Arabidopsis thaliana: one gene and its partners. The protein of the gene in region 1 interacts with the protein of each later gene in a pairwise test. Each region holds a gene or a part of one and is shown in the gene's direction. Other genes may lie near its edges.

What was found.
Region 2: the proteins of AT2G43420 (region 1) and AT5G49130 interact in a protein complementation assay, tested with the Arabidopsis thaliana proteins (one large-scale study listed by BioGRID).
Region 3: the proteins of AT2G43420 (region 1) and AT4G34220 interact in a protein complementation assay, tested with the Arabidopsis thaliana proteins (one large-scale study listed by BioGRID).
Region 4: the proteins of AT2G43420 (region 1) and AT2G38510 interact in a protein complementation assay, tested with the Arabidopsis thaliana proteins (one large-scale study listed by BioGRID).

What each region holds. Positions count from the first base shown.
Region 1 is NC_003071.7:18,028,605-18,037,770, reverse strand, and holds AT2G43420 (3-beta hydroxysteroid dehydrogenase/isomerase family protein), read left to right. Parts: upstream 1-2,588; 5' UTR 2,589-2,834; coding exon 2,835-3,081; intron 3,082-3,231; coding exon 3,232-3,321; intron 3,322-3,398; coding exon 3,399-3,532; intron 3,533-3,618; coding exon 3,619-3,789; intron 3,790-3,931; coding exon 3,932-4,048; intron 4,049-4,143; coding exon 4,144-4,223; intron 4,224-4,628; coding exon 4,629-4,821; intron 4,822-4,909; coding exon 4,910-5,012; intron 5,013-5,380; coding exon 5,381-5,555; intron 5,556-5,710; coding exon 5,711-5,867; intron 5,868-5,947; coding exon 5,948-6,014; intron 6,015-6,126; coding exon 6,127-6,278; 3' UTR 6,279-6,503; downstream 6,504-9,166. Other genes in the region: GLX2-1 (glyoxalase 2-1), read left to right, coding at 150-332, 430-633, 937-1,060, 1,305-1,405, 1,724-1,798, 1,871-1,969, 2,056-2,202; FPA (RNA binding protein), read left to right, coding at 6,782-7,051, 8,423-8,665, 8,867-8,923, 9,010-9,166.
Region 2 is NC_003076.8:19,912,124-19,919,900, forward strand, and holds AT5G49130 (MATE efflux family protein), read left to right. Parts: upstream 1-3,748; 5' UTR 3,749-3,780; coding exon 3,781-3,846; exon of another isoform or gene 3,847-3,959; coding exon 3,960-5,402; 3' UTR 5,403-5,844; downstream 5,845-7,777. Other genes in the region: AT5G49140 (Disease resistance protein (TIR-NBS-LRR class) family), read right to left, coding at 6,962-7,777.
Region 3 is NC_003075.7:16,378,212-16,386,626, reverse strand, and holds AT4G34220 (Leucine-rich repeat protein kinase family protein), read left to right. Parts: upstream 1-2,158; 5' UTR 2,159-2,572; coding exon 2,573-4,253; intron 4,254-4,381; coding exon 4,382-4,974; 3' UTR 4,975-5,154; downstream 5,155-8,415. Other genes in the region: AT4G34215 (carbohydrate esterase, putative (DUF303)), read left to right, coding at 5,435-6,025, 6,233-6,424; SK11 (SKP1-like 11), read right to left, coding at 7,166-7,624.
Region 4 is NC_003071.7:16,120,948-16,127,760, forward strand, and holds AT2G38510 (MATE efflux family protein), read left to right. Parts: upstream 1-3,037; coding exon 3,038-4,498; 3' UTR 4,499-4,588; downstream 4,589-6,813.

The sequences.
Region 1 (9,166 bases):
GGTTTGGTGAAACTGGCGGTTGAATTATCTATTATAAGCTTCTATGGGTTTTTTTTTTTTGTCAACTGTGTTTAGTAGTCTTTGTTTGGCTATCTTATAGTACTATTTTGTGTCAGATTATGATTTGTTGATTGAATTTCATGAAACAGATTGGAGGTCAGCTTTGTGTGTGGCCTGGTTTGAGACAACTTTGCCTCAGGAAAAGCTTATTATACGGAGTAATGTGGTTATTATCCATGCCACTGAAAACATTGCGTGGAGCTAGAAAAACTCTTAAGATTACTCACTTTTGTAGCATTTCCAACATGCCATCCTCATTAAAAATCGAACTGGTTAGTATGCTTTTCATCTTGAATCTACTGGTTGAAACAACTCTGTAACAATCTGCTGAAGATATTATTAACGATCTATTTTACTGAGATGTTTCAGGTGCCCTGCAGTAAGGACAACTATGCTTATCTGTTGCACGATGAAGACACCGGAACAGTTGGAGTCGTTGATCCTTCTGAGGCTGCACCTGTTATAGAAGCATTGAGCAGGAAGAATTGGAATTTAACTTACATTTTGAATACTCATCATCATGATGATCACATTGGGGGGAATGCTGAATTGAAAGAAAGGTATGGCGCAAAGGTAAGAGGATACTATTTTCTGTTTAAAACTGTATGACCTTGTTTCTTGTGTTGTTTCTGCTCTTTGCGCAAGTTAGCCCTCTTTTTATTTTGTTTCCTTGGAGTGTCTCTTGCCTCTGATAGCTGTGAAACATTGAGCTCTACAATACAATGGTTTGGTTTTGAGATGTCGTAAAGTATTAGTCTTACCAGAAAAAATGGTTTTTTGGACCTTTTTGTTTTGCACCTTTGTCGAGTTGTTCTTTTCGTTTTTGCTTCTTTTATATATACTCAAGTGTTTTTATGTGACTTATGTTGCCGACAGGTGATTGGATCAGCTGTAGATAAAGATCGGATTCCTGGAATTGACATACTTCTGAAGGATAGTGATAAGTGGATGTTTGCTGGCCATGAGGTTCGGATACTTGACACTCCTGGCCATACACAAGGTTTGTAGCTGCCATAACCTCTACTGTAAAATACTAAGAACACATCTATACAGTCAAATATTGCCAACGTTAGAAACCTTTGGTGGATCACATATTAGTATCTTATTTGTCATTCTAATTTGTTATCCTCAATACATTACTGTGTAACTGCTCTCCTTTTTTATCGTTCTAGTGTAGTACAACTAGTAATTAATGTATACTTGGTGCCATGTTTTATCACTTAACTGTACTTATTCTCAAGCAGGCCATATTAGCTTCTACTTTCCCGGGTCAGCGACAATATTCACAGGAGACCTGATATATAGCTTATCCTGTGGTACCCTTTCAGAAGGTACCCCTGAGCAGGTAACATCAATTTCAAAAAGCAATATTTCAACCTTCTCGACCCTTGCACTGTTATGATTATTTTCTTGTGGCAAAAATTGTGCCAAGTGATTTGTGGTTTTCTAAATCATGTTTCTTTTTCAACCTTCATATCTTTTTACTGTTATGGTTACTTTCTTGTGGCAAACTGTGCTGAGTCAAATGGTATAGACTTTATGGAGAGATCACTTGGGACTTGGGAGTACTCTAATAACCGTACATTGTAGTTTCTTTCACAGAAGCAAACTTATTGTGCTCTGTCCTTTTTAACGAGAAAACCTTTTTTGCCTTATGACTCAGATGCTTTCATCACTCCAAAAGATCGTGTCTCTACCAGACGATACAAATATATACTGCGGCCGTGAAAACACAGCAGTAAGTTCCACGCACATAAATACTCTTAATTCACATTGTTCAACTCTCTTTTATATCTCCTCCATGATACAGGGCAATCTCAAGTTTGCTCTATCCGTAGAACCAAAGAATGAAACTCTTCAGTCCTATGCAACTCGAGTCGCCCATCTTCGCAGCCAGGGGCTCCCATCGGTAAAACCTCTTATCTCTTCCCTATCTCCTCTTTCTCTCTAAACCTCTCTCTAGATTTCATTTACTTACGGATTTGTTGTCTGTAGATTCCAACGACTGTCAAGGTTGAGAAAGCGTGTAACCCATTCCTCAGAATATCGAGCAAAGATATCCGAAAATCTTTAAGCATTCCAGACTCAGCAACCGAAGCTGAAGCATTGCGTCGTATACAGAGAGCCAGAGATCGTTTCTGAAAACTTGGGTATATTTTCTTATTTGTATAGAAAAATTTGCAAGTCAATCATCAGCTGCAAAGATCAATATTTTATATGTTTTGGGCTTTCTTCAGTTATCATTTGAAGTTGTGTATTCAACACAAAAAAATCTAAATATTTAGTTTAAACTCAATTATTAAATTATGAGATTTTCAAGTGTAATGAATGCTTCAACATACATACACAAGTGTATAGATAGATACGGTTTAGTTTCTCTCTACAAGTGCTTACCAAATTTCTAACAATGGAAATCATATGTTTGGTGGATTGATGGAATTGGCTCACCAAACGTGAAAACGCAACCGTGCGTCTACGATTTAATATTAGCTTTACTAGATTTGTTTGTAACCAAGGAATAATTATACAGATAATTTACATAAATTAAGTCAAATCCATAGATTTATGGCAAAAAAGTGTGAATATTAAATTATAATTACACAGCCGAAGAATAAAGGAAAACGCTAAAAGGTTGCGCGAGTGGAGAGTCTGCCCGCCAAGCAACCCCTAGTATTCAGCTTTTTGTGCACTGATCCAACTCGACTCGGCCTTTTTCTCTGAGTTGACTCGACCGAGAAAAGGCGATAGAGCTGGGGTTTAATTCGGCGATAACAATGGACGAAGATTCCGTCCATGGCGATTCTCACCTCAAGACATGTGTCGTCCTCGGCGGACGAGGGTTCATTGGTCGATCGCTTGTCTCCAGATTGCTTCGTCTCGGAAACTGGACAGTCCGAGTCGCAGATTCCGGTCACACTCTCCATCTTGATGAATCCGATTCGCTCCTCGAGGATGCTCTCTCCTCCGGCCGCGCTTCTTATCACTGCGTCGATGTTCGTGATAAACCTCAGATCGTTAAAGGTTTTCCTCTTATTTCCTGTTGCACTTTGTTAGATATGACATTGATGGATCGGTTTTTGGTATCTAGAAAATGCTATGGGGGAGTGTTTGGCTATTTGAGATTTTCGGGTTCTGATTTGAGTTTTGGTGTGACTGTTTTGTTCCTTGCAGTTACCGAGGGTTCCTATGTTGTATTTTACATGGGAGCTACTGATTTACGTTCCCATGATTACTTTGACTGCTACAAGGTTATAGTTCAAGGTAAAGTTCTTAGTCACTTCAAGATGGTTTACCATTATATTAGTTAAACTTGGGTGGTTAATCGATTTCTCGTATAGGTACAAGAAATGTGATTTCTGCCTGTCGTGAATCTGGAGTCAGAAAACTTATCTACAACAGTACAGCTGATGTTGTTTTTGATGGTTCCCAACCTATACGTGATGGTGATGAATCCTTGAGACGTCCTTTGAAGGTAATCCTTGAGCATGTTTGTTTAGTTGGTTTTTGTCGTTGGTCTTTTTCAGAGATGATATCTGTTTTGCTCTGATTCTCTTGCAGTTCCAATCTATGTTGACAGACTTCAAAGCTCAAGCAGAAGCGTTGATCAAATTGGCTAACAACCGAGATGGTCTCTTAACTTGTGCACTTCGCTCTAGCATTGTATTTGGACCTGGTGACACAGAGTTTGTACCTTTTTTGGTGAATCTAGCCAAGTCCGGATATGCAAAGGTCTTACTATTAGTTCATCCCATTGTTGCGTTTTTGCGTCTACGTTTATTATCTTATTATACCTGGTAGTATTCCTTGAGCTTGATGCATTCTTAGTTTTCCTTTTTTGGAGGAATGACTGTCTTAGTTTTTAAAATTTCAGTTTATACTCGGGAGTGGTGAAAATATCTCTGATTTCACTTACTCGGAGAACGTTTCTCATGCACATATTTGCGCCGTTAAAGCATTAGATTCACAGATGGAGTTTGTGGCTGGAAAGGTAACCTCTTTGAGTCAAAGTGTATTTGCCAAATCACTCCTGAAAGCGCATGAACTTTATATGTGATGAATTTTTACTGTGCCGACTTTATGTAGGAATTTTTTATCACAAACCTCAAGCCGGTCAGATTTTGGGACTTTGTAAGCCATATAGTTGAAGGTCTGGGATACCCAAGGTAAATAAGCATCCGAACAGTTTTTGATACAATGAAACTTGCTGTGAACTCCTTTTATCTTTCTGTTTCCTGATTATCAATGTAGCATGGGAAAAAGGCTCCTCAGAACTTCTGAACCTACCTTGAATGTTCCCTTCTTAAAGCAAAAGATCTTAATTTTCTGTTGATAGATGTCCTGGAGACATGTCTAGAAGAACCGTTTCGAGAACAGCCATATTCAATTAGTTTTTTTAGATATAAACTATCTATACATGGTGATTCGCTGATATTTAGTATTTTATACATGGTCGTATATGTTTCCTTCTCCTATGTCTTAAATATTGATCATTTTGAAAAGTTTTAGATCCTTAGAGCTAACTTTCTGGTTTACCTGTTTTGATATTTTTTTTTCCTCTTTAATTGCAGACCATCCATTAAACTTCCTGTTCGGCTGGTTTTGTATGTTTTCTCACTTCTTAAGTGGACACATGAAAAGGAGGGCCTTGGGAGTAATTATGACACAGCACATCAGTATGCTCTGTTAGCTTCATCAACGAGAACTTTTAACTGCAATGCAGCTAAGAAGCATCTTGGTTACACACCTGTTGTGACACTTGAAGTGAGTTTGTTGGATAGTATTTTGGCTTTTTGCATATTCAGCTGCTTAGTACCTTCCTTGGATTTATTAGCTCTTGTTGGATTTGTAGGATGGTATTGCATCAACGCTTCAATGGTTCTCTCGGGATCTTGAGAAGTCTGATGACACAATCATTCAATCTACTGCAGATCAGCTTCTTGGTTGTGGGAAAGGTTAGAACCATCTCGCTATTAACAATTATAATGCCTTTTTGAAGTGTTCTTGGCTAAGTATTCAGTTGTATTGCTTGAAGTCCGCATCTCATCTAGCTATGGATATGATGATGCATGTTCACAAGGCTTAACCTGGAAAGAATCTATCTCTATTTTCAACTTAGATTTGTTTGCTTCTAGATGTCTAGAACATGCTGAAGTATCTGCTTGGTTAATTTACATCTTCTTCCAGTCCATGTAATTTCATGCGAGTTCCAACTTTATTTCATGCACATATAAACAAACTCAAAGCGAATCTGGTCAATGCAAGCTTTTAATATTAATCTCTTTAAACTGACTTAGCTTTTCATCTCTATGTTCTCATGCAGTTGCAGACATCTTGCTGTGGAGAAATGAGAAGAAAACCTTCGTTTCTTTTCTTGTCCTAAACTTGTTTTATTACTGGTTCTTCTTTTCTGGAAACACATTTACTTCATCTGCAGCCCAACTTCTGTTTATATTTGCTGTTGCTCTCTATGGAGTCTCTTTTGTGCCGTCAAAGATGTAAGTATTGGTTCCAGAACTTTACCATTATAGAAGGCAGTGAAAATAAGTTGTGATACCAAAATTGTCCTATCAAAGGATGATGCACCCATGTATATATATTTCACCTTTGAAATCTATATGCAACTAAGTGACAGATTGATTTATTTTGACAGTTTCGGGTTTCAAGTCAACAAAATACCCCCATGGAGATTTGAGATCTCCGAATCCGCTGTGAGAGATCTTAGTAGTGATATCGTAGTTGTCTGGAATCAAGGAGTTCGCAGTTTTAAATCCTTAAGCAGTGGAGGAGACTGGATCAAGTTCTTCAAGGTACAATTCTACTCTTTATGCTCACCAAACATGAAAAATATCTCATTGCTCTCGTTTCCTAAAACAAAACATAAAAACAGATTGCAGGATCACTGTATCTCCTCAAACTGATTGTATCCCGTTCATTGGCAGCATTTCTTTTCACAGGTACTCGAACAAAGCTTTTGTTTTCACACTTCATAAACATGATTAACAACTTCATAAACATGATTAACAACTTCTTTATCCATAACATTTTCTCTACGCTTTGCTTGGACAGTTATGTCGTTCTCATTCACCGGTTTCTTCATCTACGAGCAATACGAGCTTGAGCTCTACCACCTAGCCCGGATATTCGTCGAATGCTTAACATTTATTAAAAGGATGGTGATACCTGTTTCTGATGCTTCATCTAAACCAATGTTCATGTGAAGCTTCCAAAGTCCTCCACTAAACGAACACCAACAATCCCAGAGACTAATTGCAGTTATTAGATGTCTTATGTACAAACATTATGCTATCAGGATGTAATCTTCACTGAGAGGGGATGGATATATGATTATTTACGAATTTGCCATAACTACTATCAAAATGCACCGTTTTGATCCGGTTTCCAAAAAAAAAAGAAAAAAAAGGAAAGTATCCTTATATATCCTTTAAAAGCCGCCGCTTCGATATTCCCTGGCCTCTCTTTCTCTCACAATCTAATCTTCTTCGTCTTCAAACTCAATCTAGGGTTCTCTTCTCCTCTCTGTAGGTAGGATTTTGAACACCCAAATCTCTCATCGAATTTTTCTTGCTCAACGTATCATCGCACAATTCGTCTCTCGTTTTCCGTCACGTGGATAATCGAAATCTCATAATCCCAAAGGTAAAACAATCAATTCTGGGATTGGAATTTTGGATCCATAGGATCGTCAATTGAAACAATCCCGATGGCGTTATCTATGAAGCCATTCAGAGCCGATGATTCCGGTTTCCAGTCAAACAATCTTTGGGTCGGTAGCCTAACGCCGGAGACGACAGAGTCAGATCTGACCGAGTTGTTTGGAAGATACGGCGATATTGATAGAATCACGGTGTATTCTTCACGAGGCTTTGCGTTTATATACTACAGACATGTGGAGGAAGCAGTCGCAGCCAAAGAGGCTCTTCAAGGAGCAAATTTGAATGGAAGTCAAATTAAGATCGAATACGCACGACCGGTTTGTTCTTATCTATATCTTCGTTTGTTCTCTAACTTTGATTGTCTTTTGTCAACGATTATACTCTTTTTGCGAATTCATAGTCCAGGTTCACAAAACTTTGATGATGCTTGTTTAGTCCAAAAATTTCTTGTTGAATCTGTTTTTTTTTTCCTCATCGTACAAATCAAAGTCGAAACCTAGTTTTTTTCTATTATACGTCGTTAGCTTAAGGCGAAACCTGATCCGATCGAAACGTCTTTTCTCAAATTACTTTGGTTATATCGAACTCGCGCAAAGCCAAACCACAGAGAAGCTCTGCAAAATTTGATGTTAAAGCATATATAACTCTTAGCGAATGAGCTCTGCAAAAGAATACATCAAACACATGTTTACTCTCGTTTATGCGAAGAAGGTTTAATCCGATTGTCGTTTATCTGCAAACTTGTATCCGCGTTTAGCAGTCTGATTTCAGGTTCGCTTCAGATGTTAAATCTCACAAGCTTGAGTATGAATGTATTGCGTACTCCACTCGAAATTCGCAATGGTGAAAATTTGGAAGCGAGCAAACTCTATCATCGGCCAAACAGATAAGAAATTTTGGAGTTTAAAAGTTCAGTTTCCTGCAAAAATCAAACCGCGTGGAGAAATTTGTCTATGGCGGTACGTAGATATCAATAACTGCATCTGCGAAACAGAAAATTCTGGCAACCGTATCGTCCTAACTCCTAGTATCGCTGGCACATATCCATATCAGTGTGAGGGAGTTTTGGGCTTGTTTTGGCTCGATGCTTCAGGAAGACAAATTACGTGGTTGTTAAGGCGGCTAACTCTACCAATCAGAAACGCTTTATTCGAAGAACCATGTTTGTTCCTCAATTCCCATCCCTACGTACAATCTGGGCTTTCCCATTGTAGTTCCTTAGGAAGTTGACTTCTTCACAACCATTCTGGGATTGGTACAGTTGCAGTGGACAAGACAAATATTCATTTGCAGGCAGACTCAAATTTCAATGTCTTGCCGGCTTTGAGTACTTAAATGGAGTGTTCAGGGATTGGTTTATTTGGGACTCAGGCAATGGATAAAGACAGGAATGTTTTGCAGAAAGTATTAATGTCTTTCCGGCTTTGGGGACTACATACTTCTCCTACAGACAAAATCTGATGTTTAGGCAAGAGAAACTATTAACACTGATTTAATAGAGAAAGAGGAGATGGTTTCTCCTTGCGGCAATTTTATTTGTTTAGGAAAGCAATTGATATGAATTGGTGTCGTAGTGTAGTTGAAATTACTAGTTAGTTTGTGTGTTTAGTTTCCTTGATGTTTGATGCTTTATTCTTGGCAACCTATCTGGGTAGTATCGCCTTCTTATCGACCTTTTCTTGTTGCAGGCAAAACCTTGTAAGAGTCTATGGGTGGGTGGAATCGGCCCTAATGTCTCCAAGGATGACCTGGAGGAAGAGTTCAGCAAGTTTGGGAAAATCGAGGATTTTAGGTTTCTCAGAGAACGCAAGACAGCTTTCATTGATTATTATGAGATGGATGATGCTTTACAGGCTAAGAGCATGAATGGAAAGCCTATGGGTGGTAGCTTTTTGCGTGTTGATTTTCTCCGGTCACAAGCGCCAAAAAAAGTAAGCACTCTTGTGGCATTTGATTTTTACTTTTGAAAACGCTCCAGTAAACATTTTGTTTAGTTTCATAATTTGCGTCAAACTGATAGGGCTGAGCTCTGTCTTGTGCCCCTAGGAGCAGTATTTACTCGTCTCTATTTCATTGTAGAGTAGGCTCAACTTCTTAAGTCTGAAATCAAGTTACCTTTGTGTTATCTTCAGGAACAATGGGCTGGCTCTTACGATAACAGAAATGGCAATATGAATCATAAACCGCAGGTTAGTCTTGAATGTTGAAAGTATGTCTCTTGTTACTAGTGATATGTATAGGTTACTGGTTTTGACGTTTTGTTATATTCTTACAGTATCCTCACTCATATGAAGACTTTAAAGGAGATGTCCAGCCAAGTAAGGTTCTGTGGATTGGGTTCCCTCCTACTGCTACACAATGCAATGATGAGCAAATTCTGCACAATGCGATGATACTCTTTGGTGAGATCGAGAGGGTAAAAAGTTACCCAT
Region 2 (7,777 bases), on another chromosome or scaffold:
CAAGTCCAAGGTGCTGCCAAAAAAAAGACATTAGTTCAAGATAAAGGAAAGGTTAAAGGATATTTTTATTTTGTTTAGTTTCTAACCATTGTTTCCGTCTACATTTCTAATTTTAGTTAATGTCCGTTAACAACTTAACATACGAATGTTCTCTTTCAAATAATGATGTCCTCTCATATCATATATCTTTAGGAAGATGTGGTTTTTTTTTGTTTGTTTTAGATACAAGCAATGGTTGATTAATTATGAAAGCATCGCTCTTATTGTTGATGATTAGACTACTAAGCATCATGAGTTCATGACTCTAAACAATCAGTCAATCACACATAAACATAATTAAAATTTCACGTGGACATTCTTGCAAACATGATTATATTAAATCTACTCTTTTAATCGGAATGTGAATATTAATGTGCAAAGATATTAATTTGTAAGTTTTTATCCTCTTTAGAATTAATAGTTTAAATAAAAAATATTTGGCTTGACAAATATCGTGATTGTTACAATTTGGCATATCCAAAGAAATCCGACAGTGTTTATCTATATCAGAAATAAGAAAACATAACTTATTGGGATGTATCTATATATACATTTTTGCAACCATTTTAACAAATAAATCGTGGATTTGGACTTATTTACAACTCAATGCCATTAGCATTAAATCTTTCTCCAAAATAATTAATTTTACTTTAAATTGTTAATCACATTATCAATCAAATTTAATCCAAACAAACTTCAAATCAATCTCTTAAAATTAGCATAAACATATTTGTTAACAATATTTTAAAACAAATTTTTTTGTTAAAACAAATATTATTCTTACTAAACGTTTTTTGTTTAAATAAATAAATCATGTATTTGAACTTATTTACAATGTAATGACACTGACATTAATTATTTAGGAATGAAAATATTAAATCTTCTAAATCCTTGCTTTTAGAATTATTATGTCATTACTTAAAAGGCTCAAAATATAAAAAAATTAAATATTATTATTTATATATCTAGACTTTATAAAACATTATTAATATTTAAACTTATAAAAAGTTTAATATATCATAATTTTTTAATATTATTATATAATATATAGAGTTTTAAAAAATCTTAATTCTTTCCGTCATATTTTGTGACTCGAAATTTTAAAAATAAACATATATTAATCAATTGGCAAAAAATGTGTGAGTTATACGTCCCACATGAACTAAAATATTTAGACAATGATTCATAAATATATCATAAATAAGATTAACATTAATAAAATAATGATTTTTTTACAGGATGGGTTTGGCGGGACGCGATTTAGCAGGACGTTACTTAATAACAAATATAAAGTATAAAATAAAAATATTTTATAGCAAAATTTTATATATACTAATTTTAAAATATAAATTGTCTCCACGGTGTACCACGGGTTAAAATCTAGTTATTTAGTAATTATGCATCTCGTATAAACCAGCTACAAAAATATCAGTGGAAGGATCTTTATCAGCAAGCATATTAGAAAACATTAAAAAATGAATAGTAAACTATGAGTGGGGAAGCAAAAGAAGAGCGACGGCTTGCTATTGGAGACAAAGTTCATACCACACGAACTAGACGATGCATAGTATAGATATAGGTTAGGCATATGTCCATGCATATGTTACGTGTAGATTGAAAGGGCATCGAGATCAACGGTGGAGATGGAAGCAAGTAAAAATAGCCACGTGTGGAAAAAGCAAAAGAAGAGAAGAAGAAGATATAAGCGACGAAAGGAGAGAGGATATGTTTCCTTTGTGATGGGAACATCACAACTCTGTCTCTATTGGTACTTCTAGTTCACTACTTGTCTATGTTTTTTCTTTCAGTACTTAGTTTCCCCCACGATTTACACAACTTTCTTCTGCTCGTATTTACAGATTTTGAAGATTATTTATACATCTTTATATAGAACTACACATGAAATCGTATGAAAGCATGCATGAATCATGATTCATGTGTGTGAAAATTGACGGTATGAAGATGTGTATAAATTTTATACATCTGCGAAAATCATATCTTGTGGCCAAATATCGACCAATTGGAACGGCTTGCAAATTCTATGAAAACGATCGATATGAAAATCTGATTTACATATATAATAGTATTTTCAATTAAAAATCATTTTCCTCAATTTCTATATATGTGTATTTAGCATATATATATATATATATATATCAAATAAACCAAATAACTTCAATAATAATTTAAATATATGAAAATTAAAAAAATTCACTACTCATATGATATAATTCATCACTATAGAACTTATAAAATAAGATCCTGGTAAAAAAAGCATCAATCTTGTATTTCAGTAGTTTATAATGTTAAAATATATGTAATCAAACTTCTCATATTTTTATTAAAACCACACATGGGCTATCTAGCTAATTCACACACACATATATATATATATTGTTTTCGATTGTCATGATGATCATTTATCCACGTAAGCAGAGACAAGATGTAAAATGTCACTAGTTTATAGGGAGTGGAGTGGGAATAAGTAGGAAAAGGGAAAAAATTAAAGGAAAGGTATACATAATTTTCAAGTCGATTTTGGGTTGATAATTACAGTGAGAGGGAGACAACACATTGCGCTATACCTAATTCTAACTAGTTTCATTTCTAGACTGATGGACCAATCATATCACTTTCTACTAATATCGTTAGTTTGAGCTTCATAAATATCTTTTATCACATTTTATTTTAGAAAGGTTGTTGTTAGTTCTATGCATCTTTTTAAACCACACGAAGTTTCAAAAATATTCATAATAATATTTACGCCTTTATAACTAACATATTCAATTTCTTACATTTTATCATGGACAAAAAAAGAGAGTAGTTCCTCAGGAGAAATACAAATTCGATATCTAAAATCAAGTGTTAGTAATCTATTGGTTAATATTTTTTCAACACAAAGATTATTTCATGGTAAATGCATTTTTTAAGATAACAATTGTATGTTCGAACACTAGTTTAGATTCTCTATATGATTTTCCGATACTCAAAGAAACTATACACTCACTTTCTTAACAAATTTATTAGGCCAAATATATACTGTTTCACCGGAGATGCATTCATATTTACTATGGATTAGATAACAATTGTATGTTCCGAACACTATTTTAGTTTAATTTAGATTGCCTATATGCATGATTTTTTTATAACCAAAGAAAATATACACTCACTTTCTTAACAAAGATTAAATAAAGAGATAATCATAAATGGAACTTTGTACTAACAGAATCTTGAGAAGAAATTTGATTTGAGTTTTGTTCTTTTTTTTTTGTTGTTTTAAATTTCCACATGCCTATACTTTCGTTTGTTTATGTGACGCTTTTGTACGACAAAATCAGGTTTGGATTCGTACTTCTTTTAGGTCAATACATTCTTTTGTTTAATTCTGACCAAAAATAAAGAAATATGTTGTTTAATAAAAATGTAGGATATTGAGAGTCGTACTATAATAAAAAAATAAAAAAATCTCGAACTTTGATAGTATAAGAGATATACGATTAAATCTTGAACTTAATATCCTATATTTTTCTCAAACTATACTTAGTTTGTATTTATACTTGTATATATTAGAGTCCACACAAAGAAAAATGGATAACAAATAATGACATCAATATTTTGGGAACCCCCACCATGCCAAACCCAACTCCATGTTACAAAACAAAACAAATAAAATTTCTTTATAAAATGGCATCTTCTCTTCATATTTTTTAAATCTCTCATCTCAATAAACAAACACTAACAATGGTGGTCGAAGAAGATTCACGTCTCATAAATCTCCAACACAAGTACAACCCGACAATGCCCGAGGTACTAAATTAAATCTAAAACTTCTATTCTTAGTAAACTTCTTCCTCAGATAGAGTCTTTCAAATATCTCCTCTCTTATAATTATTATTTTTTTATTTAAAATATTTAAAAAGGTGGTGGAGGAGCTGAAGAGAATTTGGGACATAAGTTTTCCGGTGGCCGCCATGAGCATATTAAACTACCTAAAGAACATGACATCCGTCGTGTGTATGGGACGACTCGGTAGCCTTGAGCTCGCAGGAGGAGCCTTAGCCATCGGTTTCACCAACATCACCGGTTACTCCGTCCTCTCTGGTTTAGCCACCGGTATGGAACCATTATGTGGTCAAGCCATCGGTTCTAAAAACCCTTCACTCGCTTCCTTAACCCTCAAGCGAACCATCTTCCTCCTTCTCTTAGCTTCTCTTCCCATATCACTCCTTTGGCTAAACCTCGCGCCTCTAATGCTGATGCTCCGCCAACAACATGATATCACTCGTGTCGCATCTCTCTATTGTTCCTTCTCTTTGCCTGATCTTCTCGCTAATAGTTTCCTTCATCCTTTACGTATTTACTTACGTTGTAAAGGCACCACTTGGCCTTTGATGTGGTGCACGTTAGTCTCCGTCCTTCTTCATCTTCCCATTACTGCTTTCTTCACGTTTTACATCTCTCTCGGAGTTCCCGGAGTCGCCGTCTCTTCTTTTCTTACCAACTTCATCTCTTTGTCGCTTCTCCTTTGCTACATCTACTTGGAAAACAACAACAACGACAAAACCACTTCCAAGTCTCTTTGTCTTGATACGCCGTTGATGCTGTATGGTTCGAGAGACTCCGGTGAAAATGATGTGTGGTCAACGCTGGTTAAATTCGCTGTTCCGAGCTGTATAGCGGTTTGCTTGGAGTGGTGGTGGTACGAGTTCATGACGGTCCTCGCTGGATATCTCCCCGAGCCGAAGGTGGCGCTAGCAGCAGCCGCCATCGTGATACAAACAACCTCATTGATGTATACAATCCCAACGGCCCTCTCGGCCGCGGTATCCACGAGGGTAAGCAACGAGTTAGGAGCAGGACGGCCAGAGAAAGCAAAAACAGCGGCGACTGTGGCTGTCGGAGCCGCCGTGGCAGTGTCAGTGTTTGGACTTGTGGGGACCACCGTGGGGAGAGAAGCTTGGGGAAAAGTTTTCACCGCCGACAAAGTTGTCCTCGAGCTGACGGCGGCGGTTATTCCGGTGATTGGAGCTTGTGAGCTTGCCAACTGTCCTCAGACCATTAGCTGTGGAATCTTACGTGGCAGTGCGAGGCCAGGTATAGGGGCCAAGATTAATTTCTACGCCTTCTATGTAGTTGGAGCACCAGTGGCGGTTGTTTTAGCGTTTGTGTGGGGTTTAGGCTTCATGGGCCTATGCTATGGCTTGCTTGGGGCACAGCTAGCTTGTGCAATCTCCATTTTGACCGTTGTTTATAACACAGATTGGAACAAAGAGTCCTTGAAGGCTCATGACTTGGTGGGCAAGAACGTCATTTCACCTAATGTCGATCAAATTATTGTCAAATGCGAAGAAGGCCTACACTAACAGTTTTTCCTTCTCTTTTCTTTTTGTTCTTCATATATACTATCTCCATTTATGTCTCAATGATTTGCTTTTGTTTTAAAACTTATACATTTATGTAAGTGTCTTCATTGGACAAGGACAGAATGTAAAACTTTATGAAACACAAAACTGTTGAAGATTTTGCATTATTGAAGGGAGTGGAATCGTGGATTGGATGATGAAGACTTATATGGATGCGATGGCTAATGACCATGACGTGTAATATATATTGGGTGCATGAGTGTATATAGAGATACCGAACCACATGGAAAAACAAGAGCTAATTGGCCGGAACACATGTGCAAGCATGTGCATGTGTACCCATACAAAATAGGCATCATATTAGTGTCCTTGTGGCTTCTCGCTTCTTTTCTCCCACCTTAATTATCTTTCACAACAACTAAAGCTTTAAGCTCATACTTTCAGAAACCTTTAAATGGAAATATATGATTCTCATTTTCATTCAATTGAATCCAAACTAATGTTTACATGTTGGCAGTGGAATAAGCAGTTAGTATGTTTAATGAGGTTTAAAATGAAAGAAACATCATATACACAGTTTCAAATTACTACTGATAAAATATTATAAAATTTGTATCATTCAGATCAGAAAAAATGTGGCATAGAATTAATTATTAACAAAAAACAAAAAAAATGGTGATCGGTGATGAAAGTAAGTTGCCTAATTTCATGCTTGAAGCCATTGTATTTGATAATAACTACGTACGATTGCAAGAGAATTTTGCATGACTATCTTAAAGATATATTATTATTAGCCCTGAATATATTGCGTAGATATATTATAAAAAAATTGAATGCAAAATTATCTATGTTCCGGTAAGATTAGTCAATGAGAAATGGTAAGTCTTAATAACAAAATTTTGTTTTTTTTCGCCAACAATTTTTTTAGTTTTTTTGGGTAAAAGTAGAATAAAGAATCAACAATTAGAATTAGCCACGAATATATTTGGGTGTAGTGAAAGTAAGCCCGATCGAAGAAGATAGGTGGGGAGGGGATAAGGAGTGAGACACATTATGTTTTGTTTCCTTTGTTGTTAACAAATACTAAGACCTTTGAGGTTTGACGTTTTTTACCTCAAAAAACTTCATTACCTTCCGTTCGTACGTACCATGATGTGCCCTGCTTAATTAACACGTGTTCCTTCACCTTTTCACTGTTTTCTGTTGTTTATATTAACACTTTGGCTCGAGCAATTTTATCTACAATAGTCACTATTAAAAGAAGTTTTGATAAATCTTGAATTGAAAATTAGTCTTAAACCTTACCGATCTCTGTCAACATCACACGTACGGGGTTTGCAAGAACAAATCAAAGGCTTAAGCGTAAACTTGACACCACAATTATTAGTTGTTATTGTTGAACAAAATAAAACCAATAATGAAGCACTAATAACACAACATAACGTGCGAGTATTTTAGTGGATATAGTTTGAAATGAAGTTAAACTTTTAACATAAGTACTTTTTTTCATTTTCGAACGCTCCGACATCTTGTAGAAGTTCCTGATAGCTCCCGAATGCTTATGCATCTGTCAATATTTGTACACCACATTCCGTAATCTCGTGGTGTATGCTGCTGAATCCAAACCGTATCACATCCACTTCTTCAAGTAAGACTGAGTTAAATATAAACAGATGCGGTGTGACAAAGTCCTTGACAACTCCACCAAATCTATGTGCTGCGATGAGACGACCACTTTCACCTATGAGACGACAATATACAGTACAAATATTGTTCCTTTCGCTTGGGAAAAGTAGGATGCAAGCCTTAAATCTTAAAGATGAAGAACAAACATTTTCATCTTCTAGATGGATGGTCAAGGAACCTCCTCTGGCACGGTGACTGAACTCCAGAGGAACCTCTTTGCCAGGTAAGCATGCTCTCTTGTAAACCCATTGCTGCGTGATTACTCGTCGTGCTTCTCCATCGAAATTCATGGATTTGCTGAACTCGACTTTCGCATTTGGACAGTCGAAAGATGAAGATATTCTCTCAAGTGATTCACAATTTATTGCTGATAGAATCTTGATCGAACTTGGAAGCTCTGGCAGTGACACAAGTTTTCTACAATTATCGACGTATAAGTAGTGTAGCCAAGTGAGATCTTTGATACAATCTGGAAGCCTTTCAATACCGCTATCCGTTAGGTATATATACACTACACTCTTGGGGACATGTGAAAATATCTTGAGGTTTAGGCAGCCACTAATATCAAGGGATTCAAGGCGAGACCATTGACTAATTGATGGAGGTATTTCTTCTATCCCTGTGTTTTTCATAAAGATTCTTTCGATGTTCTTCGAAATATCTGGAAAACTTTTCAATTTTAAGCATCC
Region 3 (8,415 bases), on another chromosome or scaffold:
ATATTATATTTTATTCGTTAATATTTGTAAGCTGTGGTATAAGAAACTTGATGCGAGTGTTTGGTCCTTGAATCTTTTACAATAGTATGCATCGTTGACGATTTCATGTTTATCAAAGTGAGTGGTAGGTTAAGGAAGACTAATTTAGATGTACGACCGTTGATTATAATTTTTTCATGTATAAATGTTGATACACAATTGGTGGTGCAAATTGAAATTACAAATGTGTGCAACTTAGTCAAATGCTTAGTTGGTAGATAAAGAGATGTCTCTTGGTGCTATGTCAGAACCTCTATTGGACCAGACAAGAGAGCATGGCGTGGATATTTATATTTGAAGTCGATAATTCGTTACCCTTTTGGGCTTTATATACGATTCCCTCTTCTTTACAATAAGTGGTTGGATGATTGTTTAATATTTCTAAAATTTCAGATTAGAAAAAAAAAAAAAAAAGAGAATTCAAAAACAATTTAAAGAATAAAACACTATACATCTACCAGCTATGAGGAGTCCATAACTAAGATATAGAGTAATATGTTGGATCTGTGTCAAAACAAATATTTTTTCTCAGATCATTCTTTAAGTACAATCTGACCATCATTCTTGACGTATATAATATGTGCAGAGTTCTTGGGATTCACTAACGTTGTCATCATGGCATATTCATGAAATATGTCGACAGATTAAATCCGCTTAAGATCATATTTTATAGCTATAGTCAAATATTTAAGATCCATTGTCTACAATAAAAGATGACATTATCTTTTATGGGGTATCAGATCGGCCATAGGCACATTATTAGCTATCAGCCTCCGACCAAAAAAACCAAGGCATTGAATGGATGTATATAACTATATAACTTTACAGCTTTTGGTTTATAGATGAGACGTTTACACTGGGGTAAGGATGAAGTGAAAACGAAAAAAAAAAACATTAGACCTAAAAAAAAACAAGAAAGAGAATGAATATACTTTATAGATTGTATAAACGACATCAACCCGTGATCGTTACGTCTAGGACCAGCCAGATGAATATACTTTATAGATTGTATTTTTTACTTACGTCCAAAAAATCTTATCTTATGTGTTTTAGAAATTGACTAGGTTTAATCCCCATCATATCCATAGGCCCCTTTTATAATGCACATGTGAGATTCTTAATGATCACCATTTAAACTTTCTCCGCGTTTACACAAATTACGTATCTTAAATAACTAACACTCAACTAAAGCCTTTGATGAATATTATTATTATGCTACTTATACACGACAAGAAATTGTCCTAACTACCTACTTGTTGCGAATGAAGCAAGCAAATATGTATTAAGATAATTTATGTTTATGCCTAATTATTATCTTAATCAACAAACTATAATTTACAAAATTGTTTTGTGTGACTGTTGCTCTCTCGGACAACACTCGTTTATTTCGCATCAATTATTCTCATTCTTATGTGACTCACTCAAAACCAAATAAGATGGACCACTTCGAGCCTTGTTTCTGTTATATATTCGTCCACAGGCTACACTGAAAGCGATGCGGTCATAGCCCATTCTCTCGTCGCTTTCATGTTTGTTCTCCAAACCTTTTTTTTTCTCCTTGATTGTGCTACTGCTTTGGCTTCTTTCAATTCTTAGATATTTTTAATTTTATTTTCAGCTATAACTTCATTTAATATGGCTAAATAGTTTTCTTGGTTTAGAGTCTTTAGACTAAGGAATAATTTCATGACCATATTTTTAACTTTTCGATTTTCGAAAGATTCAGTTTAGGCCTAACTCAGTTTGCCAACTTGTGTAGTGTGTGAACAATTTACACAAAAATCAAACTCTGCAAGGTCATTTTTCCAAAATTTTGATTATTAAAAAAATAAAAAAAAAGATGAGGATAACTGACATGTCAGTTTTGTGGTGTCCCTTGTTTTGTCTTTGATTAATGTATGGTTCATTTCATACGAGACCCTCTGTTTTGGCAAACCTATAACGGGTTTTCTCTTATAAGTTCTAAGATGAGAAAGTACTACATTGAGATATAATTACTCAATTACATACTGTACTTAGTCGTAATAATAGTCGGTGATTATCCTTTTAAACTTTCTATGGACCGAAATGTTCCAGAAAAAAAATGCAATAGTTTAGACTTTTAACTTTATTTTATTAGCTTTTCTTCATGTAAACCAAAAATAACCCAAAAGCAAGCGGTAATAATTATTCTGTCCCCCATGAATTGCTTTTACTTTAGTGAATGAAGTAGATTTTAAATGCGAAAATATGGCTGCTGCTGCTCATTTACAGTTTTACACTAATGAATAAATATGATCAAGAATCATTGATTCTACACCTTGTCCCATGTCAAGTCTAGTCAAAAGCTTATTTTATCAACTCCGGCTCTTTAAGATTCTCTCTCTCTCTCTCTCCTTCACCATCTCAGAGATTGCTCCACTATCTCATAGATTTGGTGACCAGAACAACTTATCTCTTGAGTGGTTCAACCTCTATCTCTCTCTCTTTCTGCCATGAAAATGCAAAGCCAAATGTAATAGTTAGAGAGGGAGAAACCAAGAACTGAAAGACCATGACTTCCAACAGAAGCAACCTCCTGTTCTCATTAGTCCTCTTCCACTTTCTTTTTGTCCCCACACAACTCCAAGCTCTTAACACTGATGGTGTTCTTCTGCTTACTTTCAAATACTCCATCCTCACTGACCCTCTCTCTGTTCTACGCAATTGGAACTATGATGATGCAACACCATGCTTGTGGACAGGTGTCACATGTACAGAGCTTGGGAAGCCTAACACACCAGACATGTTCAGAGTCACAAGCTTGGTACTTCCCAACAAACACCTTTTGGGTTCCATCACTCCGGACTTGTTCTCGATTCCATATCTAAGGATCTTGGATCTGTCTAGCAATTTCTTCAACGGGTCACTCCCGGACTCGGTGTTCAACGCCACTGAGCTTCAGAGTATCTCCCTTGGAAGCAACAATCTCTCTGGTGATTTGCCCAAGAGTGTCAACAGTGTGACTAATCTCCAGCTCTTGAATCTCTCAGCTAACGCATTTACTGGCGAAATTCCGCTCAACATCTCACTTCTGAAGAATCTAACGGTCGTTTCCTTGTCAAAAAACACCTTTTCAGGTGATATTCCAAGTGGTTTCGAAGCAGCACAGATTCTTGATCTTTCTTCAAATCTTCTCAACGGCTCTCTTCCCAAGGATTTGGGAGGAAAAAGCCTGCATTACTTGAACTTATCACACAACAAAGTCCTCGGCGAGATTTCTCCAAATTTTGCAGAGAAGTTTCCAGCAAATGCCACAGTCGATCTCTCCTTTAACAACCTCACAGGCCCAATCCCAAGTTCCCTTTCTTTACTTAACCAAAAGGCTGAGTCTTTTTCCGGTAACCAAGAGCTTTGTGGGAAGCCATTGAAGATCCTTTGTTCAATTCCTTCCACTCTTTCAAACCCTCCAAATATCTCTGAAACTACTTCACCAGCAATAGCAGTTAAACCAAGAAGTACAGCTCCAATAAACCCTTTGACAGAAAAACCAAATCAGACAGGAAAAAGCAAGCTAAAGCCAAGCACCATTGCCGCAATCACAGTTGCAGATATAGTTGGTCTAGCTTTCATTGGTCTACTCGTGCTCTACGTATACCAAGTCAGGAAACGCAGAAGGTACCCAGAATCTAGCAAATTTAGCTTCTTCAAGTTCTGTCTGGAGAAAAACGAAGCCAAGAAATCGAAACCAAGCACCACTGAGGTCACAGTCCCAGAATCACCAGAGGCCAAAACGACATGCGGTTCATGCATTATCTTGACCGGAGGAAGGTACGACGAGACATCGACATCAGAGAGCGACGTAGAGAATCAACAAACCGTTCAGGCATTCACTCGAACAGATGGTGGGCAACTGAAGCAGAGCTCCCAAACTCAATTGGTTACAGTCGACGGCGAGACTCGGCTAGATCTAGACACTCTGCTAAAGGCATCTGCTTACATATTGGGAACCACCGGAACCGGGATCGTGTATAAGGCGGTGCTGGAGAACGGCACGGCATTCGCGGTGAGGCGGATCGAGACGGAGAGCTGTGCGGCTGCGAAACCCAAGGAATTCGAGAGGGAGGTTCGTGCCATCGCTAAGCTTCGTCACCCAAATCTCGTCAGAATTCGTGGGTTCTGCTGGGGAGACGACGAGAAACTTCTCATTTCCGATTATGTTCCCAATGGCAGCCTCCTCTGTTTCTTCACCGCCAGTAAGTTCCTCTGTTTCTGTAAGCGCACGAAAAAAAAAACACAGTATCATATCTAAAATACGCAAGTCATTTGGTACACATTAGCACTCTAAAATACGCATCACTGTTTTTTTGTCCTTCACAAACAGCTAAGGCAAGCTCAAGCTCATCTTCTTCGTCGTCATTACAAAACCCTCTTACTTTTGAAGCACGGCTCAAGATAGCAAGAGGAATGGCTAGAGGACTATCTTACATCAATGAGAAGAAACAAGTGCACGGTAACATCAAGCCCAATAACATTCTCTTGAACGCTGAGAATGAGCCCATCATCACCGATTTAGGGCTAGACCGCCTCATGACACCAGCGCGTGAATCTCACACCACTGGACCAACTTCGAGCTCACCGTACCAGCCACCGGAATGGTCCACAAGCCTGAAACCAAACCCTAAATGGGACGTTTACTCCTTTGGCGTCATACTTTTAGAACTTCTCACAAGCAAAGTGTTCTCGGTAGATCATGATATAGATCAGTTCTCAAACTTATCCGACTCTGCAGCGGAAGAGAATGGCCGGTTCTTGAGGTTAATCGACGGTGCAATTAGGAGTGATGTCGCTCGCCATGAGGATGCTGCAATGGCGTGCTTTAGGTTAGGGATTGAATGTGTCTCTTCCTTGCCTCAGAAGCGACCATCCATGAAAGAATTGGTGCAAGTGTTGGAGAAAATTTGTGTTTTAGTTTGATTTCTTAATTCGTATAGCCTAAGTCGTTTTGGCAATATAGAAAGTTATGTGTTATGTATGTTTTAGATGTGTTGCTTAATGCTTACTTTACCCTCGCATAATACTAACTCTTACTTTAGAGTTTAGAATGTGTTTCACTGTTTTGTTATGTTATATCACAACCAAAAAGCTATATAAAAATTAGAATCTTAACCGATGAAGCCAATTAAACCAACACAACGGGAATCACTTAAAATTAACTCGGTCTAACTTCCTAACCAAACTTTTAAACAGACCGACCCAAACCGGACCAAGATTCTAGTGTCCACGCCTCAACATCATCTTCTCCGATCAACTCTGATGCTCACCCCACCAAACTTTACTTTCTATTCAGACAAGACATCTCGATAGCTTATTTCTATGGTCTGATCACACGATAGTGTATTCTGATATCATCACTCTACCAAAGAGATACCAAATTATGGAAGGAGGATCTATCACTCCCGGTGAAGATAAACCGGAGATCCAATCTCCAATTCCACCAAATCAGATCTTCATACTCTCTGGACAAAGCAATATGGCAGGACGCGGCGGCGTCTTCAAAGACCACCACAACAATCGCTGGGTGTGGGATAAAATCCTTCCACCGGAATGCGCACCAAACTCATCGATCCTCCGCCTGTCCGCAGATCTCCGGTGGGAAGAAGCACACGAGCCACTACACGTTGACATTGACACAGGTAAAGTGTGTGGAGTAGGTCCAGGAATGGCGTTCGCTAACGCGGTGAAGAATCGCCTGGAAACAGATTCGGCTGTGATCGGGTTGGTGCCGTGCGCTTCCGGTGGAACGGCGATAAAAGAGTGGGAGCGTGGAAGCCACTTGTACGAGAGGATGGTCAAGAGAACGGAGGAGAGTAGGAAATGCGGCGGAGAGATCAAGGCGGTGTTGTGGTATCAAGGAGAGAGTGACGTGTTGGACATCCATGACGCCGAGAGCTACGGGAACAATATGGATCGTTTGATTAAGAACCTCCGTCATGATCTCAACCTTCCTTCTCTTCCCATTATTCAGGTCTCTCTATCCTTTGTGCGATTTTAGCTTCCAATGTCACATCTACATAGGTTGTGACGTTGTGTTATTGGTGAAAGAGTTAAGTTGCAGATTATGTAATTTTAGGCTTTTACAATGTACATATCAGTTGTTGCAAGTGATTTTGTCTTTTAGAAATCGGTAGGTCAGATTTCCATTGGTTAATCTTGATGGTTTTGATTGAAGCAGGTGGCAATAGCATCGGGAGGAGGATACATAGATAAGGTGAGAGAAGCACAGTTGGGACTGAAACTGTCGAATGTGGTCTGTGTAGATGCTAAGGGATTGCCGCTAAAGTCCGACAATCTTCACTTAACCACCGAGGCTCAAGTCCAGCTTGGTCTCTCCTTAGCTCAAGCTTACCTTTCCAACTTCTGCTAGACAATCAAGTAAGTTCGTGATAAGGTTCATGAATCTTTCTGAATGTGTGTGGTGGACTAGTTATATGGATATCACAAAACTTTGTAATAATGGATTGGTAAAACATTGATGTTCATAGTGAAGAACAATTAGTTTGCTCTAGATACTGGTGGATTCTGAAATCGATCTAAAATATTATTAGCAGCTCTGTTTTAGTCCTTCGTTCATTATAACTCTAGGATCAATTGAAGTTACGAATAATGATATCGTTGCACTCCACTATACATAAGTATATTTCATAGACTAGAAAGTCAAATAAAACCATAGAGAAGTTTAATGTTGTATTGGTGATGGATAATTGTTTTTGTCAGGTTGACGATCGGGTATTGGTGAGAAATTGTGGTATTTTCAGTGTGTTCTAGCAGTTTAATGTTTGTTTGTCTACATCTCCCAAGAGGTGATATGCAGTCTAAGTGATGGACGATGGTACTGATTATATGTAAATTTGTTATCCATGTAGAGCACACATAATATTCTTTCCGTTTGTCACATTATTATCTACATTGCAACTACTAATAGACATGGCCGATAACTTTCCTACGGATTAGTCATTCATGGTTCAAGTTTTTTTCTCATAAAAAGAAACACAAATCATAATAAAGATGTAGACAAAGTTATCATAATCGATCAAGACGTTAAAAAGAAAACACTAAAAAACGAAAAAAAGAAAAAGAAAGCTAGTTAGGGTTTTGATTCATGGGCTCATTCAAAAGCCCATTGATTCTCCTTACGAACAGCTTCTTCTTCCTCAGGTGTAAAATCATTCTCAATGTTGAAAGTTGAACGAATCTCCTCTGGAGTCTTGCCTTTGATCATGTCCGCAACAGTTTGGCATGTGAGATCAAGCAAGCTTTTTATGTTGAGGTAATTCGCAGCAAGGATGAGTTCAAAGATGGTGGATTGTTCGAGATCCATGAACTTCTCGTCCCAGTTGTTGAGATCCTCTTCAGAGATAGGATTAGCCTCGTCGACGTGGTGTTTCTTGCAGTACTCGATCACTTTCACAAGAATCTTGCTTTCCACGTTTGCAAGAGGGATTCCATCAGCAACGCAATCGTCTTCAACCATATGCGCTATGGTCTGCGATTGGATTGCTACCGCTTCTTCCACCTCAAACGACTGACCATCGGAGCTCATCAACACGATCATCTTCGAAGACATTGTGTGTTCCTTGTGGAGGAGGTTTTTCACTGTGAAGCAAATTTGATGAAAGATTTAAGAATTTAGAGAGCGAACAAATTGTGTTAAGGTGATGAAGTTGTGAAACCCTATGCGTCTTTGTATTTATAAGCCCTAGCTAGAGTCGGTGACAACAACATATTATAATTCAACGCGTGGTACACTACGGACAAATATTTTATTTATATATATAATAATTTTAAATTTTATAATTTTATATTTAGTAATAAAGTTATATAATTTTATATTAATCTTGTAATTAAAAAAATTAGTGATGATAAAATAATAAAATAAATATTTTACCTGTGTTATATCAATCCAAACCCGTCTCGATGTATTTCCTATCAATCCAAACCCGTTCTGCTATACTTCCCGTCTCATGATATTTTAATTTTTTATGTTTAAATATTAATAATGTTTCATAAAGGTAAAATATATCACTAATATTCTTTAAAAATAATAATTGTTTTTGACTTTAATGTGATGACATTCTTTGTAAATTCTTACTTTACTAACACAAAAGTACTTTAAAAAGTACTTCAAAAATTTTAATATATATAATGTTATTTTTTGGTAAAAATTATTATAAATAAATATTTAATTTAATCATAATTTGGGATTGATATACTTGTGTTTTTAACTAACTATTTTTTATTTTAATAACCTAAATTTAGGCATTTGTTAATATTTTTTGAATCTGCAATATCAACTTAATACATGTACAATTTATTTTTGCCAAAAAAGAGCAAAATTATTTAGTACAATTGAAACGA
Region 4 (6,813 bases), 1.9 Mb from region 1:
TAGAGAGCCCCCATATAACATCTCATTGCTACATTCATGAAGGACATTATCTTGATCCATTACCGTTTTGAGTCTTCAAGTACATCAGCTGCAACAAAAATTATAGTGCGACCATCATGAGATTTACGATGTATTCCACATCGTCTTCTCATTTTTATATGCACTGAACCAGGACAAATCGTCTCCATTATATTTTAGGAAAAAAATTAAGCAATATAACTTCAAACATGTGTATCAGTTCACTTAATTAGAATTATATCTTTTGTGTACCTAGTTATCGATGGGAATGTTCATCCATTCTTAATTATACAAGCTTTCTCAAAAGATGATATACATAGAGTTCGCAAAGCTGTTTACTTCTCCACTTTCATCATGAATGGCATTCTCCTTTGGTTGGTACTTGATCTTCTTATATATATATATATATATAAATTCAAAATTCCCAAATAATATATAGTGGATAATTGTACTTGATCTTTGGTGTCATTCTCTTCGTTATCCAAATCAAACATACATTACATCCTACGCCTCCCAAATTATACAAAAGCATATACCCCACATTAGTATTTCATTCCTAGGATACTTGTAAGATCCAAACACAAATTATATAGTAATCACTAGATCCCGGATATCATCTACACATTAATACCTAAAATGATAGTCAAAGCAATATGAATTAAAGAAGAAAATTATAATCAGCATCTGTAAAAAAGTTATATACATGAAACAAATATTCAACCGTTAATCTCAAAGAGAAGAATATAATGAAAGGCAAGAGTTGGCAATTATATTATTACTTTTACTATAAGTGTAAACTCATAGTATTATATTTGTTTTTTTACTATAAGTGTCAACAAGGCTTTCTATAAGTAGAATGTATAAAGGCAACACTTTAGTAAATTGGTTCAGTCTAAGAGACTGACTATGTGGAATTTTTTATTAATACAAAAACTCAACTGGCTACATATATAAACGAAGAAACAGATGTTCCCAATAAAAAAAACTTTAAAAAAAAAAAAAAAAAAATAGTTCAAAAAAATAAGGAAAAGACGAGTAAATATGAAATTAATTAGAGTGGACGACTAAGGAAGCGTACATAAATACGAGGGGAACTTAAGACATTCTTCTTCTCTCTCACTGTCTCTCTCACACACACAAACTCGTAGCTAGCTTCTATGGCAACCCTTTTTTCGTAGTCACCAACATATAAATCTCTTTGATATAAGTGAAGAAGTGTGATATATAGTATATAGTATATACAAATATATATGAGCATGTGCAGGTCTAACATGGAAAGCAGTGAATCTGGAGAGATTATAAATGGAGAATGCGATGTTTCAACATCCGTCAAAGGAGAAAATAGCGGCAGCGCCAAATTCTCTGCTGGTCTCCGTCGCATCCCTTTCAATGAGGCTTGTTTCTTTTTCTTTAATTTCTCTTTTCTTGTTCTTACATTTTCTTCAACAAAAAAATTCCAATTAGCTTTGACAAGTCATCACTCTGCTTATTCTTTGATTTCATAGTTTTCTTGTGTTTTTGTTTGTACTACTAGTTTTCGTGATCAGGACCATCCTAATATAGAGACGTTTGCTACGTTTAACCAGAGAATTTGGTGATTTTTGATGGATTATTATATTGTTTTCAGTCACTTTCGCAGTATTTTTTGGGTCTGGTAAATAATATGTAGTTCTTGGAAATTGATCTTATACTGGATTGAATGCTTCTTTTGACTGTTTTTATAGCATTTTAACCGAATATAATGCATCCCTTTTAAAAACATAGCATGAATAATGCTTCATCTATCTTTCACGTACTTGAGAAATACAATGTTGAAAATTCATTTATATATAAGTTTTCTCTGTATATATATATATATATATATATGTGTATATATGTTCATATTTATGCCTAAAGCGTTACTACTTACTACTAGTATGATAAATCCTCACTTTCATGGACTGAAAGAGATGCTTTTTGTGTTGTACTTACTTTATATTTCTTGACAGTTGGGTTGTACTTACTTAGGAAAGTGTTCTATATAGGTTTCCTCTCACTCTATTCTTTTTATCAGTTTCTTTACTTAGTACAAATATAATCTAGTTACTTTCCGATTTATTTTCTTGAAATCCTTATCCGATTGTTTATGAAATGTCAATAGTAGTTCATGATACTTTTACAAGTATCTATGCGTAAAATATTTTTTATATGTTTTTAAAATGTGGATATTCTTAATGAAGATATCATGAAATGAAAGGTAATATCTAAGCTGATTTTGTTTTTTCAAAAAGAAAACAAAAAAGGTGAGCTTTTAAAAACCCATGATGATTTTTATTTAAAAAGATCCTAGAATGTTGGTACAGTTAGCCATTCGCTTTTCTGGCACTTGTGAATTTGATTATATATTCAGTTCTAAAAGTTATAGAGTTTAAACCTTTTTCTCTTCCTTTTTCAACTTTCTCATCCCAGTCCCAGTGGCCATGTGATGCGACCATCTTCCTCGTGCTTACAAATTGTTCTTAATTTTATAATATGATAAAATATCATTTTCCGTATTGTAATGTAATGTCCTTCTGTTTCACAATAAAATTAATTTAAGATTTTATTTGACAAAAAGAAACAATTAAGGTACAATGATTTTTTTAATAACTCATGTATAAAAAGCTCATATAAATACCATTTTCATACAACTTATTAGAAAAGAAATTTGTTTGTTTATTGTGATAAAAATATTAATAAATGATATACCAGAAAATTTAATATTTTTAGTGAGTGCAATATCGTTAATTAAACGAAATTAAATCACGTACAAAATATTAAACATGATTAAAAAAGGATATTAAAGACTAAATCATATTTTGAGGATAATTTTTTTTTTTTTAATATACAACATACTCGTGTTGCGCTCTTTCTATACACTAATATCTTCTCGAGTGCGTTTTGCTAGAACTAGAAGCCTATAGAACATGTGAAAAAATAAAGAGTTGTTCAATTGAAAAACCTAACAAAAATAACATAATTTTTTAATTTTATTTTTCCCATGCAGGTGGGAGAGGAGATGGCGTCACTCACAAAAATAGCTTGCCCGATTGTGATGACATCACTCCTCATATTCTCAAGATCAATAATCTCAATGTGGTTCTTGAGTCATCTCGGAAAAGTCGAACTCGCTGGTGGTGCACTCGCTATGGGCTTTGGAAACATCACTGGAGTCTCCGTACTTAAAGGCCTTTCCGTTGGTATGGACCCAATCTGTGGCCAAGCCTTCGGAGCCAAACGTTGGACCGTACTTAGCCACACGTTTCAGAAAATGTTCTGTCTCTTAATTGTCGTCTCTGTTCCAATCGCCGTTACGTGGCTCAACATCGAACCCATTTTCCTACGGTTGGGTCAGGACCCAGATATTACCAAGGTAGCCAAAACCTATATGCTCTTCTTCGTCCCTGAGCTCTTGGCTCAGGCCATGCTCCATCCGCTTCGAACGTTCCTTAGAACGCAAGGCTTAACATCACCGCTCACGATATCTGCCATTGTATCCATTCTTCTTCATCCTCTCTTCAACTACGTCTTTGTCGTGCGTATGCGTTTAGGCGTTAAGGGTGTGGCCATCGCAATGGCTTTCAACACTATGAATATCGACGTGGGACTGCTCGTTTATACGTGCTTCTCGGATTCTCTAATCAAACCGTGGGAAGGGCTCGCTTTGCGGTCACTTTTCCGCGGCTGGTGGCCGCTGCTTTCTCTAGCCGCACCAAGCGCTATCTCGGTGTGTTTGGAGTATTGGTGGTATGAGATCATGCTTTTTCTTTGTGGGCTTCTTGGGAACCCTAAAGCAAGCGTGGCCGCCATGGGAATATTGATTCAGACCACCGGGATACTATACGTAGTCCCGTTTGCTATTAGCAGCGCCATTGCAACCCGTGTAGGTCACGCTCTTGGAGGCGGCCAACCAACACGGGCACAATGTACGACCGTGATTGGCTTGATACTCGCGGTAGCGTACGGTTTAGCAGCTGCTGTTTTTGTGACCGCGCTTAGGTCGGTTTGGGGAAAGATGTTCACGGACGAACCGGAGATTCTCGGGCTTATTTCGGCTGCGCTTCCGATCTTGGGGCTTTGCGAGATTGGAAACTCGCCACAGACGGCTGCTTGCGGAGTCTTGACTGGGACGGCTAGGCCTAAAGATGGAGCACGCGTTAACCTATGCGCATTCTACATTGTGGGCTTGCCTGTGGCAGTTACGACCACGTTTGGGTTTAAGGTTGGGTTTCGTGGGCTATGGTTTGGACTGTTATCTGCGCAGATGACGTGTTTGGTAATGATGCTTTATACGTTAATCCGTACGGACTGGTCTCATCAAGTGAAGCGGGCAGAGGAACTTACCTCCGCTGCAGCCGACAAAAGCCATTCGGAAGACGAAACCGTCCATGCTGAAGTACAAGACGATGATGATGTGAGTAGCAATGATCTGGAGATTGGTTTACTACAAAATACGAATTGACTAGTTTAGCTAGAAATGTTAAAATTATCAATCGACAATTTTTAACGGATTGTTAATGATATAGGAAACTTTTTTTTTTTGGCAAACTAAAAATACCGAAGATAGATTTGTGTCCGAACTGTTAACTAAGATTTTGTGAAAAGACTCAGCCATTTAATTGGTTGAGCTTAGCTTTTTCTAACACGCAGAAGTATGTAGTGAGAACAGTTGTGACGAATCTATCAAGGATCAATCAAGATCAATCACAATTCTACTTATGTAAACTATATATTCTGTAATTAGAAGTCTCTAGAACATCTAGTCTGTATATAAACAATGTAAATCATCTCAATACAAATCATCCAATTCTATATTCTTTATATGGTATCAGAGCATCATCGATACCTAAAAATAAAAAACCTAAAAACAGCCGCCTCTCTCCTTTCTTTCTTCTTCTCCCCCGTTGATTTTTTTATTCCTCTGTTTTTCAAACTTCAACCATGTCGAATGTTTCTTCTGAAACCGTCAACCTCAACAACACCTCCATTGTTCACATGAACATGTCGAATGTGACAAAACTTACGGCCTCCAATTACATAATGTGGAGCCGCCAAGTCCACGCTCTCCTTCACGGCTACGGTCTCACTCAATACCTTGATGCGACAAAAGCTGCTCCAGCTCGTGAGATTACCGTCAACGACGTTGCCTCTGTGAATCCTGAGTATGAAGCCTGGAGTAGACAAGATCAATTGATCTTCAGTGCTCTCATCGGCACTCTCTCTCTCACCGTCCAACCAACGGTGTCCCGCGCCGCTACCTCTGCTGATGTTTGGGCCACTCTTGCTGGTACCTATGCCAAACCGAGTCGTGGCCATATCAAACAGCTCCAACACCAAATCAAACAATGGAAGAAAGACACCCGCACCATCGACGAGTACGTTCAAGGCTTTATCAATCGATTTGATCAGTTGGCATTAATTGGCAAAATCATTGACCATGAAGATCAAGTTGATTACATTCTCGGGGGTCTGCCAGAAGACTACAAACCCATTGTTGATCAGATGGAAGGACGTGACACACCACCAAATGGATGTTTAACAAACAGTTGTGACGAAGATGGATGTTTTATCCAAATGGCTTTGAATAGTGTATAGAACAAGCAACAAGCCCGATTCGGCCCAAACCCAACCCCATTTAATCATATGTGGTTTTAGTAGTTTAAATAAGCTACTTTGAGTCTTTGACAACTGTTCTTCATATCCATCATAAATTGTGTAGCATTTTACATTTTACATTTTACGTTTGAAACTTAATCATAAGTTTTGTGAATCAAAGTTAATTGATAAAAAATCACTCTTAATACTTTTCCACGTCTACATCACTGTCATTTTCATTTCAGACTTGAGGCATTCATTTTTCACCATGTTTCAGGAAATATACTGCAATTTCTTACACGTATAGAGAGGTCCTTAATAAGTATGAGTAGCTATATCGTAATGTATTTATACCAATGTACTTTATGCTCACACGTGTTCGGTGTACATATAATATGTTGCATGTGGCATTTCGGTGCCTAATTATCAAGTTTTTACCGAAAATAAGGGAAAAGTATATAATCATGTAGCCTTTCAGACACCGACAAAAATTTTAAACAGTAAATACGATTTTTCTGTTCTTCTTAAACAGAAAATGATTAAACATGAATGAAACTTTTAAAAGCTTATTTTGACGACGTGTTCTTTAGCCAAATAGACGACATTTAAACACATCACCGGACCGGAAAAACACCAGTTGAAAATAAAATAAAAAATGTATTTGTAAAAGTCTGTTATTACAAGAAAATATGGTCGATCGTTCCATGTTTAATTGTGTTTCTTGACACTTTTTAGTTCTTATAAAACACCTTTACTACATAACTTGATAAGTTGGATGAGAATAAAGAATTATAATAGATTCTCATAAAAATAACTTTATAAGATATATTCTCTCTTATATATATATATATATATATATTATGAGATTTCCTAATCTAAAATAAAAATAAATGTAAATAATATATATAAATATTACTAAAACTAATATATGTTAATATTTTAAATCTTTCTACAATCTTTATGATTTTTATATTGTTCGACGATCATCTCAACCATTGACTCTCGATCTCCAACTACAGATAAAGTAAAATTTTACCAAAGAAAAGTCTAGTGACTCATCATACCAATAAAAAACACACAACACCTAGTTTTACCAAAATAAGACTAGAAATAGTACTATAGTAGTTATGGGACGATGGAGTGATGGTTTTGCAAAGCAAAAGCCAATAATTGTACATTTCA